2 linked regions of the Rattus norvegicus genome follow. The main gene of each other region encodes a partner of the protein of the gene in region 2 in a complex. Links are inferred from orthologs where the notes say so. Each region holds a gene or a part of one and is shown on either strand. Other genes may lie near its edges.

Region 1 (6,353 bases), on a different chromosome or scaffold from region 2:
CTGTGGACAACACGTAGGAACCAACTGAGACAAAGCCACTGGATGAAGTAGGGAACGAGACTCCAGCTCATCTTCTGGAGACAAGAACATTGGTGTGCGTGTGCTTGTGAGCGGGGCTCACCTTCCGGTTCCAGCTCGACACTATCGTTTTGGGGACCTGCAGCCCCGCAGGGAGGACAGGCTGCTGATGCTTGTTGACACCTGAAGCTTCATCCAGTAATATACCCTATGAGGAGACAAGGCACTGGGTTAGGATGTGACTTTGACAGGCTTACCTACCTGACATTTTTAAGAAATGCATTCACAGAATTATGTGGTTTATACACACATGAAAGAGGAGGTAAGGGCTGGAGAGATGGCTCAGTGGTTAAGAGCACTGGCTGCTCTTCCAGAGGTCCTGAGTTCAATTCCCAGCATCCACATGGTGGCTCACAACTGTCTGTAATTCCAGTTCTAGGAGACACCCTCAGACACACGCACACGCAGGCAAAACACCAATGCACATAAAATATAAATGAGTAAATTAAAAAGAATAGATAAATGTATCAAAATATTATTTATATACTGTACGCATTCAGAATTTTAATGGCCGGTTTAAACTTGACATTTTTGTAAGTGATTTATCTATCTTATTCTGTGTGTATTGGTGCTTTGCTTGCATGTATGTCTGTGTGAGGATGTTAGATCCCATGGAGGACTTACAGATGGTTGTGAGCTGCCACATGGGTGCTGGGAATGGAACCTGGGTCCTCTAGAAGAGCAGAAAGTGCTCTTAACTGCTGAGCCATCTTCTAGAGCCAAAAACATAACTATTTTTGAAGAGCATGGGTGGGGGCTGGAGAGAGCACCATGGCTCTTGCAGAGGACTGGTGTTCTACCCAAGCTCCAGTGGGCTCCAAGACCACTGGTCTCCACGGACACCGGCATTCATGGCACGTGCCTATACATACAATTCCATCCATCTATCTATCTATCTATCTATCTATCTATCTATCTATCTATCCACCAACCCATCCATCTATTGGAGAGGTCTTGCTGTGTAGAACAGGCTGGCCTGGAACTCAGAGACCCGCCTGCTTTTGCTTCCCTAGTGCGAGGCACAGGTACGGCCATTAGGACTGGCTACATTTATTTCACTTTCCATAGAGCTGGGGTTTCTCCTTCCACTGATATCTGAGCCTTCTATCTGAGAGCTTACTTCTGTGGATGGGAGGCACTCACCACTCTCTCCAATATCACGTCGTTGGTGTCGACGAGTAAATCGAACTTGTCCTCCAACTCAGTGACTTTGCTTCGGTCTTTGATGTTGCTGCGACACCCATGGTACTGCATCACCCGACTCATGCTAAGGAATCGAGGAAAACCAAGGTCAGCACGTGCACCTTTGTTCTACCAACCTACAGTCTGAGAAAACTCCTCAAATGGCTTGGATCACAGGGTTCCCGGCACCCTGGATAAAATTAACCCAATGTACATCTTCACAACAACCTTTAAACACAGGACCCCAAGCCAGGCCTGATGGTGTAGGCTTGTGACACCGGCTTCCTAGAAGGCTCAGGCCACAGTGAGTTTGAAGACACCTGTGTAATTTGGTGAGTTAGGCCTATTCTCAGCAAAATAACTTCACGGTGATCTCCCCCAACAATTATCAGATGAGAAATGTGTAGCCTTGGCTGCTCTACTCACTATACAGACCACACCAGCCTTAACTCAGAGATCTACCTGCCTCTGTCTCCCTAAGGCTGGGATTAAAGGTATGAGCCACCACACGCAGCAAAAGACTTTTGACATAAACAGATATTGTGTGTGTGTGAGTTCCCCCGCCCATGTGTTAAGGCCAGAGGATAGTCTGCAGGAGTGAGCTCTTTCTCCATCCGAGAGTCTCAGGGGTTGAACTCAGGCTGTCAGGCTTGGCATTAGATGCCTTTTACCCACGGAATCATCTTGTCGGCCCTCTTATTTTTCTTTTTTTTCTTTTCTTTTTTTCGGAGCTGGGAACCGAACCCAGGGCCTTGTGCTTGCTAGGCAAGCGCTCTGCCACTGAGCTAAATCCCCAACCCCCTATTTTTAAAGATCATAGATCATGCTGGCTGTGATGGCTGACATTTTCATTTTAGCACTCAGGGGAAGTGAGTTCAGAGGAAGGTTGATCTCTAAGATTTCAAGGCTAGCTTGGTCTACATAGCAAGTTCCAGGCTAGTCCGGGCTCCACACTGAGCCGCTATTCTTCCCCAACAGCCACAGACCACACAATTATCCTATGTCCCTCTGGTTAATGGCATTTAGGCAGCGTTTCTTTGGTGATGGCTAGTACTGGAGTTCAGACTCAGGAACCCAATCACGTTCATTATCTCCCGACAACTGAGGTATGCCACTCTCAGGACAATCTTTTATTTCTTTCAATCAACGTAATAAACTCACCACTGAAGCAACCTGTCTCCTTGTGTCTCACAAAATGCCTGGAAGGCAGGAAAACTTCGGTAAAAGTCATACTCGTCACCGACCTGTGGCAGGCCCCCAGATGCCTTGGTAACGGCCACTACCGACCCAAGTGCAAACTGAAAATCAGAGAAAAAGATGCATCTTACACACGGATTCCTGTTTACTCAGGAATAAAAAACCCACAAGATTTTAAAGCTATATATCCCAGGGAGCTGGAGAGACCGATCAGCGTTAAGAGTGCTTAGCACTTCTTGTACAGGACCTGGGTTAGGCTGGGCTCAAACATACAGAGATCCACCTGCCTCTGCCTCCCAAGGGCTGGATTTGTGTACCACCACCCGACTCAGGTGACCATTTTATAACCAGTGGTTTAGGTAGACTGTTGTGAGGCAGGTAATGAATGGGAAACAATCACAAGTGGCTGTCATTGATAAAGAGTGGGTGCTTATTTTAAGGCAGTGGCTCTCAACCCTTGGGTCCCATTTCAGATACCCTGCCTGTTTACATTACAATTCATAACGGTAGCAAAATTAGTTACGAATTAGCAAAGAAAAAATATATTTTAACCAAGAGGATCGCGATTTATTTTAAAGTTAATGTCTACATAGACTGCCACAGCAAGGCCATCAATGAAAATAATCTCATGGTTGGGGATCCCAGCGTAAGGGAGGTGTTAACGTCTCATGACAGCATCGTGAATTTTGTGAACAAAGAATTTAAATAAAAACTCTATCTTCCTTCTCAAGAGGTACTGGTGAGTGCGCTTTGGCATTTAGAGAGGGGCTCGATGGTCGCTGTGACATTCAACCCAAGAGATTGGGGCAATAGACGTTTGTGCATCAGCGGGGTGAGCAATGGGCGGGAGAGTCGCTCAGCTGTTGGGCTCCTCAGGAGAGGTAGCGCAGGGTGCGCCACGTGGATGACGGACGCCCTTCCGAAGGCGCGGACACAGCTTTCTACGCGAAGCCGCTCGCGCTCACACCGGAAGCGCGGAGCCCTTCGCTGCCGTTCTCCGTGCGCGCCGTCAGGCCGCCGTGACAGGCGCCAGAAGCCCGCAGCCCCAGACCCGCTTCCGGCTAAAACAGCGGTGCCCCAGAGCCCGCGAACTGACCTTTACGAAGCTGTCTGCATCCGGGAAGCCAGGCAGTACCATCTCCGCGTCAGGCTTGGTCGCACCGGTCGCTGGCGCGGACTGATGCTCCCGGGGACTGGGAGGCGCCATTTTTCCGTCCTAGGGCGGCTCTTCTCGCGAGATTGTTCCGGCGGACCGGAGAAGAGCGTAACGCGCATGCGCGCGGCTCAATACCACTACCCCGCCCCACACCAAGTAAGTAGTGTAACTTGTTACACGACTTGGCCAACGATGGGGAGATTTAGGCTTTTCTTTAATTTTACGTTGTATCCTAACAAACCTGTGGGCTAGGGTGAGGACTGGAGGGAGGATACAATTGAAATTACATTTAAAGCTAGATCTTCACCCCGGACCCGCCTGCATCCAGCCTCCCAAGTGCTGGGGTTAAAGGCGTGCAAAACCGTTTACTCAAGGATTGGATTTTTCCCAGTTTGTTTAAAATATTGGGAAAGGGAGAGAAGAGAGGCTTTGAAGCAGTTAAGAACACTTGCTGGGCTGGAGAGATGGCTCAGTGGTTAAGAGCACCCGACTACTCTTCCAGAGGTCCTGAGTTCAATTCCTAGCAACCACATGGTGGCTCACAACCATCTGTAAAGAGATCCGATGCTCTCTTCTGGTGTATCTGAAGACAGCTACAGTATACTTATATATAATAAATGAATAAAAAAAAAAAAAAAAGAACACTTGCTGTTTTTTGAGGATCCCAGCACATATACAGCAGAGACCTGCTGGGTCTGGGTTCAAAAGAAGATACAGCTAACCTTCAAGAGACTGGAGGCCCCAGGGAGTTTAGAGGTTGGGTGGGGTGGGGACAGCCTCGTGGTCGGGGGATTGGGTGGAAGTAGGTTTGGGATATGGAACAGTCGGAGGGTGGACTGGGAGGGAAATAAAATCTGGAGTGTAAAAAAAACCCACCACCACCACCAACAACAACAAAAAGGACAGGGTTTTTCTGTGTAGTCCAGAATCTCAAGAGATCCTTGTTTGCCTGTTTCTGTCTTGGCCTGTCTAGTGATGGAATGTAATGGTGTAGGTTCCTGTCCCCATTAGTCAGTGGCTTACCACTGAGTTTAAGCCAAAGCCCAATAAGAGAATTTGCAAAATAATGAACAGAAAGCCATACACATAAATACTTTTAAAATTCTGATGTCATTTATTGGCACAAAAATTACTCAGATACAATGGTGTCTAGATGTGGCTTCACTTATACTTTGTGTTTAGTTGGATATTTACTTTGCTCTTAATTCACAACCTGCGCTAGTGTCCCTCTGAGATCAGCACTTCCACAAAAGCATTTGTGTTCTGAGTCCCTGCTGCAAACACAACATATCCATCCCTCACTGAACACAGCAGCAGGGCCAGCGTGGACCCTGCACTGAGATCCTGGCACACCTGCTCATCCTCGGTGGCCAGGCGTCTGAGCAAACGTCCTTCCTGGAAGGCCGGCTCTGTGAGGTTCAGCATCATGGGATCAGGTGGAAGACAGATCTTCTTACACACACGGTGGCCCATCCTGCAGATGTTGCCACTGCATCCAGGGACGGGTGAGGTAACAGGATGGTGGAGTGCTGACATCTGTGTCCTTGCTGTTGAAGCCCCTGGTTGAGAGGATCAACTAGATTATTCGGTCAGCAAATGCGTATGATGAGTTCTTCTGTAAGTTAAGTCAAAACCCGTATTTCTTAGTCAGTTACTCATCTTCTGTTCTCCCAAAATCAAAGGCTTGGTTTCTGTAGGATTACTGTGTTTCACTGTCCTGGGAACTGAATCAAGCCTTGTGTTTCTGACAGTGTCTTTTCAACAGCAGCTAGGAGGTTGGCATAAGCCAACTTTGAATATACAGTAGTTCTTTTCATATACATTTCAAAATATTAACAAAGTCCAACTTTATGACCATGGTTTCAGTCCACTGGAAGCACAGACCAAGGTACAAAAGCATCGGAGGAGATGATTTTCTTTGCCAGGCCTTGGTTACCAGAAAGGACACCTAGGAAGGTGGGCAGAAAAAGGCATGGTCAGTCAGAGCTCTTCCAAGCTTTACCCAAGCACAGAGAGCAGGTTTGAGCCCTATGGGACTCAGTCAACACCTCTAGTAGAGGGCTAATGGCCCTGAGGTCCCAGAGATTCCTCTGCCCCTCTCAAATGCCTGCCTAGAGTCTCCAGGATTATCAATCTTTTTCTTCACTTTTTCTCTCTAGCATTTCTTTGACTTTTCCTGTGCCCTTCAGATCTCTGGAGCGACAACAAAATTCCAAAAGCACCAGACAAGTAATGCACTCTGCCCATTCTAAACCAAAGCTCTCAAAGCAGCTGTAACTTCCAAATGAGATTACATCTCTGTTTCCCGCAAGCAAGGAGCATTCTCAGAACCTGTGAACTTAAGAGGCATGGAGCCCATAAAGAATGTTCTCTATGATCACTCCACCAAATCATCTTCTCATATGTGGGTTTGAGGCTTAAAGTGTGTCCTTACTGCAGGCTTATTTAGAGACATGGTTTCACTACTATAACTTGGCTGTCCTGAAACTTACTAGAGACTTGCCTGCCTCTGCATCCCCAGTGCTGGGGAGTAAGGGCATGTGCCACCACACTTGGCCAATGAGGCTTCTTTGCAAGGCTCACTCACCAGCCAATGTAGCACTGGCAGAGGTTCTCATGAGATGTCGCTTGCTTGATAAGCAGTTCCACTTGGGTTGGAACATCCAAAGTGTCATCATGAGAGAAATCCCGACCTAGAAAGTAGAAATACTGTCATCTGCATTTGGCAACAACACAGCCC
Region 2 (6,138 bases):
ACAAATGGTCTGAACTGTAGGACCACCTCTTCAGCTCTCCCATGGCCATTTTATGTCTGTAACCTGAACAGTTGCAGACTGTGGTAGTCTTAGGGTCCCAGAACCAATTCCTTTAATAAACCAAGGGACTATGGTAATACATTTACAATTTTACAATACTATGCTGTTTATTAAATTTAGGGGTTTAATTTGCTTTTAAAGCTTATTAAGTACTTAAAAAGGCTATAAATAGATTTATAGCTAAACACCAATACAATTATGCGTGTTTGTTTGTGCAGACAGAGTCTCATTTAGTCTGTACTGGCTTTAAGCTTTCCGAACAACAGAGACTAACATAGAACTGAACCTTCTACTTAACAATGTTGGGATTACAATTATGCCTGGCTCTTGGGTATAAGGAGACCCATTTCCTGCTAGAAACAGGGCTGGTACTGTTGCCATTTGAGTAAGCCTATATCCTGGCACTTGGTTTACCTTAAAGCCACTGACAGTGCAAGCTGACCAAGTGCTCCTTTTAATGAAATATCAGGAGGGTGGGGCCTACTTGCCGGTTTTCCACCCTTTGCTTTCTCCTATAGAATCCTAAGACACAGGGTAAAGCAAAACAAAACCCAATGCTGGGAGCTCTTCATCAACTTAACTACTAAAACATTCAGGAGAAAGGACATTTAAATTCCAACTCTTTGCTTTCGGTTGTCCCAGGAATTGGTTTTCAAAACAATCCTAATATTAAAAACGTTTTAGAAAACAGAGGTTGAAGCGGATTGCGGTGCATGAGTGAGCCGAACGGTAACAACAAATTGATTTTAGCAAAAGAAATTGAAATATGACACCTGCAGCAGTGTTTAAACCTGGCTGTGTGTAAACGTCTATATGTCTGTGTCTAAATAAAACCAACTTCAAGCTTATTTTAAAATATTCAATTTGAAAAAAAAAACCATGTACATTCTAGCTAATGTATATTTTTTCTGAACTGAGCATAAGGACAATTTATCATTTTCATACACAAATAAAGAAAACTTTTATCTTTTACTACCAAAGTCTGAAGAAACCAAAACATCTTAAAAAACAGAATAAATACAGTTTCTGCTTGTTAAATAACTTGGGGTGCTGAGGGTTTGGGAATATAATTCTAACGTGCTATTCTCAGAGTCGGATCATAAAAGTTCAGATCGTAAAAGTTTCCAAATATTAAATGAAGCCAAACTGTATTTTAGGGCATTTTCACAAAAAGGGGTAATACCTCTTTCACTTAGGTACAAGGCAAGTATTTTAAACTGGTCCAATTAGAAATGTTTTGTTCCGCAAATACAATTACTGTGGCTGATAGTTACAGGACTAATCTAAAAATCAGAATGAGCTATTTTTTAATTTCGTTGAATAAATCACTGGAAGTACAGTTTGCATCTACAATAGAGGAAGATAAGACTTAAATGTATTCTTTTCCAAAGAAAGGAATGCTCCTGAAACAATCTACCTATGAATAATATTAAATAATATACATCATTGGCAAAATTAAAAAGAAGACAAGATTGTGCCACCCGTAAAAATGTAAACCAGATGCCAATTCACCATAGAATCCTAACTATGTCCATCCTGGGGATACTGCAGTTTATTGATCTACAGCCAGATCTTTTGGCCAGGTGTTGAAGCACACATATAAAATGTTACTGCATTCCTCACCAGCAAAGAGAATACCAAATTAGTTTCAAAAATCCTTTCTGTCAAAATAATGAATTCCTCCTCTTTCCCTCTAACAAAGGACCTTTTCTAAAGGGGGCTGGGGAACCTGTACTATAAATAAATAAATAAATAATGCAAAACAAATACCTCCGGCCTCTCTGATGCTGCACAGCTTGACAAGCCGTTTGCATGAAAATAATTCCCTTCAACTCAGGGAACTCCAGGACCTCAAGGTAATCCTGGACAACTTTCCAGTCTGGGATCACATAATGAGTCACTTCAGCAGACAAGAGCTTCCCATCTGAAACATAATTCAGAGTGGAAGCGATTAGGTAACATTTTCAAACCTGGTTTATGACTATTTCAATGTCGCAGTGCTCCCGGTGTGCAAAATAACTTCTCATCTTAATTTCACCTTGAAGTTTTTAAAAGACAAGACAAATCTAGTTTGGTAGAGGCTCAAAGTTCAGATTCATTGCTTCCCCCTCCCCTCAGCTGTGATTAAATACAAGCCCAACATGGTTTATGCTGTTGCCAGTACTTCTTTAAGAGGATGACTGATATTTTAAAAACAAGTACATCCTTGGAAGAAGCTAAATTTCTACTAAGCCGTCACAGCAAGAGTGCACATGTGTGTGTGTGTGTGTGTGTGTGTGTGTGTGTGTGTGTGTGTGTGTGTGTTAATCACTTGTATGTACCTAAAAATTCCAAGGATGTTCTGTTTGAAGCTTCTGAACATGGCTACACTGTTCTAGGATTGAAAGAGAAACATACTAGAAAGGCTGTGCTATACAATCCATGGGCAGCGGCAGGGTTTCCACTCAACTGACACCTGCTTGGTCAAGCTGCGACCTCGATTATGTATTCTGAAAAGACCTCCTCAGGTTCATCTCCCCGGGGGTAACAAACAGCAACATGCTGCCTGAAAATCGGGGAAAGTCTAGCTCCCAGCATTCCCCAGCCTAAGTCCCTAGTCCTAAGATAAAGAGGCTGTCATGCTGGAGAGTCTGCGTACTGGTAGGAGCAGAGCAGGCAATGCCAAAAGTCCAGCAGTGAGCTCAGGAGCAATGCCAGTAGCTACTTTTGGGAGAAAGAAGGTGCCTACGCCCTCAGGTCCCCAGGAAAAACCGAAGCATCCGGTGCCTGCAGGCTCTCGGGCCTCCCATTTGACCCGGCCATTACAGTGGGCTGGTCCTGAGAGGAGCGCCCCTGAAGCTGCAGGCCGGTGCTGTCTGCTTCCGATCACTAGGAAGGACGACCGGACGCACTGCGGACGCTCCAGGGCGTCTCCTGGGCTGCCCAGACTGCTTTGCTCGCTTCGGCTGCCTACGGTCCGCGAGGGTCTGGCTCCGCCCTTGACGCCAGCCCAAAGCCGCCCTTGCTCCACAAGCTGCGGCTCTCCGGTCTCGTTGGGTCCGGCTTCCTTCACTAGGGCCCGGCCACCCTCGCTCCTCAGGCCTCAGCTCCCTTTACTCGCGCCCAGCCGCCCTCGCTACGTCAGGCCCCAGCCTCCCTTGTTCCTTTGGTCCCGGCTTCCCTCGCTCTTCGAGCCCCAGCTTCCCTCTCCGGTCCCAGCCTCCCTCCCTCGCTCCTCTGGCGCCGGCCTCCCTCTCGGATCCGGGCCTCCCTCTCTCCTCCGACCCTCCCTCTCTCCTCCGACCCCGGCCTCCCTTGCTCTTCCCGCCCCGGCCTTCCCGGTCCATCCCGGCCCTGACCGTTGCGGCAGGTGGCAGGTTGCGGGCACAGGGGGCTGTTGCAAGGTACGCTGGGCCGCAGATAGTGTTCGCGCACGATCCTCAGCGTCCGGCCCTGGAAGGTCCTCAGCAGCAGCACCTTCTCCCGCTTCTGCAGCATGCTGGCGGCGTCGCCCGGCACAGTGGCCGGGAAGCGGCGGGCGGCAGGTGGAGGCGAGGCCGAGGCCTGGGGCCCGCCCCTCCGGCCTGGCCGGGCAGGCGGCGGCTTTTGGGTTCCCGCTACCGGGAACGACCTAGCCTACACTGAGGAAACGCCTGGCCCAGCCCTGCCTGCACCTTTGACTCCTCTCTTTGCCTTAGTTGCCCCGGGGCGGGAAAAGTGTAGATAAACTGTTTACCCAAAGAATCAGCGGGTAAGACGGTAGTCTGTGGCAGCTAGTCTAAAGTTCCCTTGTGAAAAGATTATTTTTACTTTCTTTCTACCCACAGGCCGGTGTGGGAAGGGCTTGCCATATTAACAGAGGTAATAACTATTGAGTTTTTTCATCCTTATTTTTGCAATATCTGAAAGAATTGAAAGGCTCAGCAAAAAAATACTGGTAACCCTGCTAGCCAAACCTGGTTTTCCCCTTCAAAATATGCTTATTTTAAATTTTAATGCATGTAAATATTCAAACACTACAGATAAAATGAAAACCAGTCCTTTGGGGTAAACACTGTATAACTTTTATAGCGCTGGCAGCCTCTGGCAAAGGAATTCTTAAAACTGCTATTGATATGATCACTAAGTACTGTGCTTGTAGTGTTTGACAAAAAGGACAGTATCTTGGGAGACCAGACAGCCTCGATTCTCCAAGCACTGGGCCCACTGGAGCTACATTAGCAACTTCATACAGGAGAGTCTCATTTAGCTTCCTTAAATCAAAGGAGTGGGCGTGTATTTTTAATCCTCATTTCACCGTATGTGAGGCTGCATTAAAGGAGCTTAAGTGTCCAAGGATACCTAGTTATTAAGTTTCAGAACCAATGTTCAAGCTAGAAACTGCTCAACTTCAAAGCGGGTTAAGCATCATCTATTCGATGGTGAGTAAAACACAGGGCCTGCACCTAAGGAATTTACTGCTTGGCAACCTTTGGTTAATGTGTCTGACCCAGTTGACTGGAAACACATGGCTCTTCCAGTACAGCTGAAATAAACCAGGACCAGCCTCTCATTTCACCCTCAGGGAATGCATAAAGAGTCACGGTCCCCTCCTCCTTGTACCTTTGTGTCAAATCACTCGGTGAAACTCAAGGTAAACTTGTACAAATGGGAAAATAATGTAGAACTGGCGCACAGGCGACAGTGCAAGGAGGGTTCCTAACGTTCTCCACAAAGAAAGAGGCCCTTCCTGTCTAACACAGGAGTCAGTTCCAGAGAGACCAGACGACACTGAGTAGCCAAAATTGTTCTCTACATAAAAAAATGCTTTAGATAACTGTCCACCAGTCCCTCCCCAGTTCCCTTGCTATCTTTTTAAAGCCACTGGTGCTATGGGGTTGGAGGAATGACTTCGATTAGGTACTAATCTGCCTTTAATATCTCTCTTCAGCACTTTGTAGCTCGAAATTGTCCGCAAATGAACCACCCTTTAAGGAACAGCATACCTAGGGTTTTATGCAGAGTTGATTTTTATCAGTGTTTAAAACAAGGCTGGAGCTTAGTTGGCAGAGGGCTTGCCTAGCAAGCACGAGGTTCTTTGCTGAGCACCGCCCTACCCCCAGGAGGCACACAGGCCTATAATCCCATCACTTGGGGATGTAGGAACAAGATGATCAGAAGTTCGAGGCTGTTCTTAGCTATACAGTAAATTGGAGACCAGCCTGGATGCATGAGATGCTATCTCAGAGAATAATTACAGTAGTCCAATGTCCATTGCACATCTCCTTGGTTTGTGTTGGGGCAATAACATACAAATTAATTGCTTTTTCCCCCCACCCACTCCCTCAAATTAATTACTTATGGTGTCAGCTACCCAGGTTGGGTTCAAATTTGCCATGTAGTTAAACTTCTGATCCTTCTGCCTGTAGCTAGGTCTTGGGATTGCAGGTACCTGGGGATGGAACTCAGGGCTTTGTGCATTCCAGGGTAAGTACTGAGCCATATCCTTAGCCATATCCACAGCTCTCTTCCTTACACCCTCTCTTTTCTCTCTCAAGTCTTTTGGAGACAGGGTCATGATACGTAGCCAATAGCCTCGATCTCTTTCCTTACTCCTCCTCCCTCCATCTCTCAACTGCTGGGATTCCATGTGCCCAGGCCTGGCTTTATACATTATGTTGAGAAACATGATTAGTTCTTAGAAATGATGTGTAATGGACCAGAGCCTTTTGCTTGGTTGTTTCGGTGGTTTGTCTCATTGGCCATCTGAGACCTCTGGACCAGAAGAGTGCCTATCAGGCAGAATAAACTAGTTTATGTTACAGAAATATGAAACTTAAATATGAGTTTTGGGCAGGTGGTGATGGCATATGCCTTTAATCCCAGCACTTGGGAGGCTGAGGTAGGCAGATCTTGAGTTCAAGGTTAGCTTGGTTTAGAGAATGAGTTCCAGAACAGCCAGGACTACACAGTGGAACTGTCTTGAAAAACAAAAAACAAAGAACAATCAGTTTCTTCACTAGTGAGTTATCTCAGTAGGTAAGGGTAACTGCTGTACAACACATATATTTTACACAAAATGTAATAATTACCTGGGTGGTGGTGACACACACCTGTAAT

The links.
Region 1: Dis3l (region 2) and Exosc10 share a complex: the UniProt entries of both Homo sapiens proteins name them as parts of the RNA exosome complex. The link is inferred for Rattus norvegicus from reciprocal best matches to the Homo sapiens genes DIS3L and EXOSC10.

Annotation. Positions count from the first base shown.
Region 1 is NC_086023.1:164,275,790-164,282,142, reverse strand, and holds the start of Exosc10 (exosome complex component 10), read right to left. Parts: upstream 3,704-6,353; 5' UTR 3,665-3,703; coding exon 3,554-3,664; intron 2,559-3,553; coding exon 2,422-2,558; intron 1,346-2,421; coding exon 1,222-1,345; intron 227-1,221; coding exon 122-226; intron 1-121. Other genes in the region: serine/threonine-protein kinase mTOR, read right to left, coding at 5,546-5,561, 6,201-6,306. UniProt on the Homo sapiens protein: Catalytic component of the RNA exosome complex which has 3'->5' exoribonuclease activity and participates in a multitude of cellular RNA processing and degradation events.
Region 2 is NC_086026.1:73,731,876-73,738,013, forward strand, and holds the start of Dis3l (DIS3-like exonuclease 1), read right to left. Parts: upstream 3,653-6,138; 5' UTR 3,538-3,652; coding exon 3,399-3,537; intron 2,891-3,398; exon of another isoform or gene 2,699-2,890; intron 1,985-2,698; coding exon 1,831-1,984; intron 1-1,830. UniProt on the Homo sapiens protein: Catalytic component of the RNA exosome complex which has 3'->5' exoribonuclease activity and participates in a multitude of cellular RNA processing and degradation events.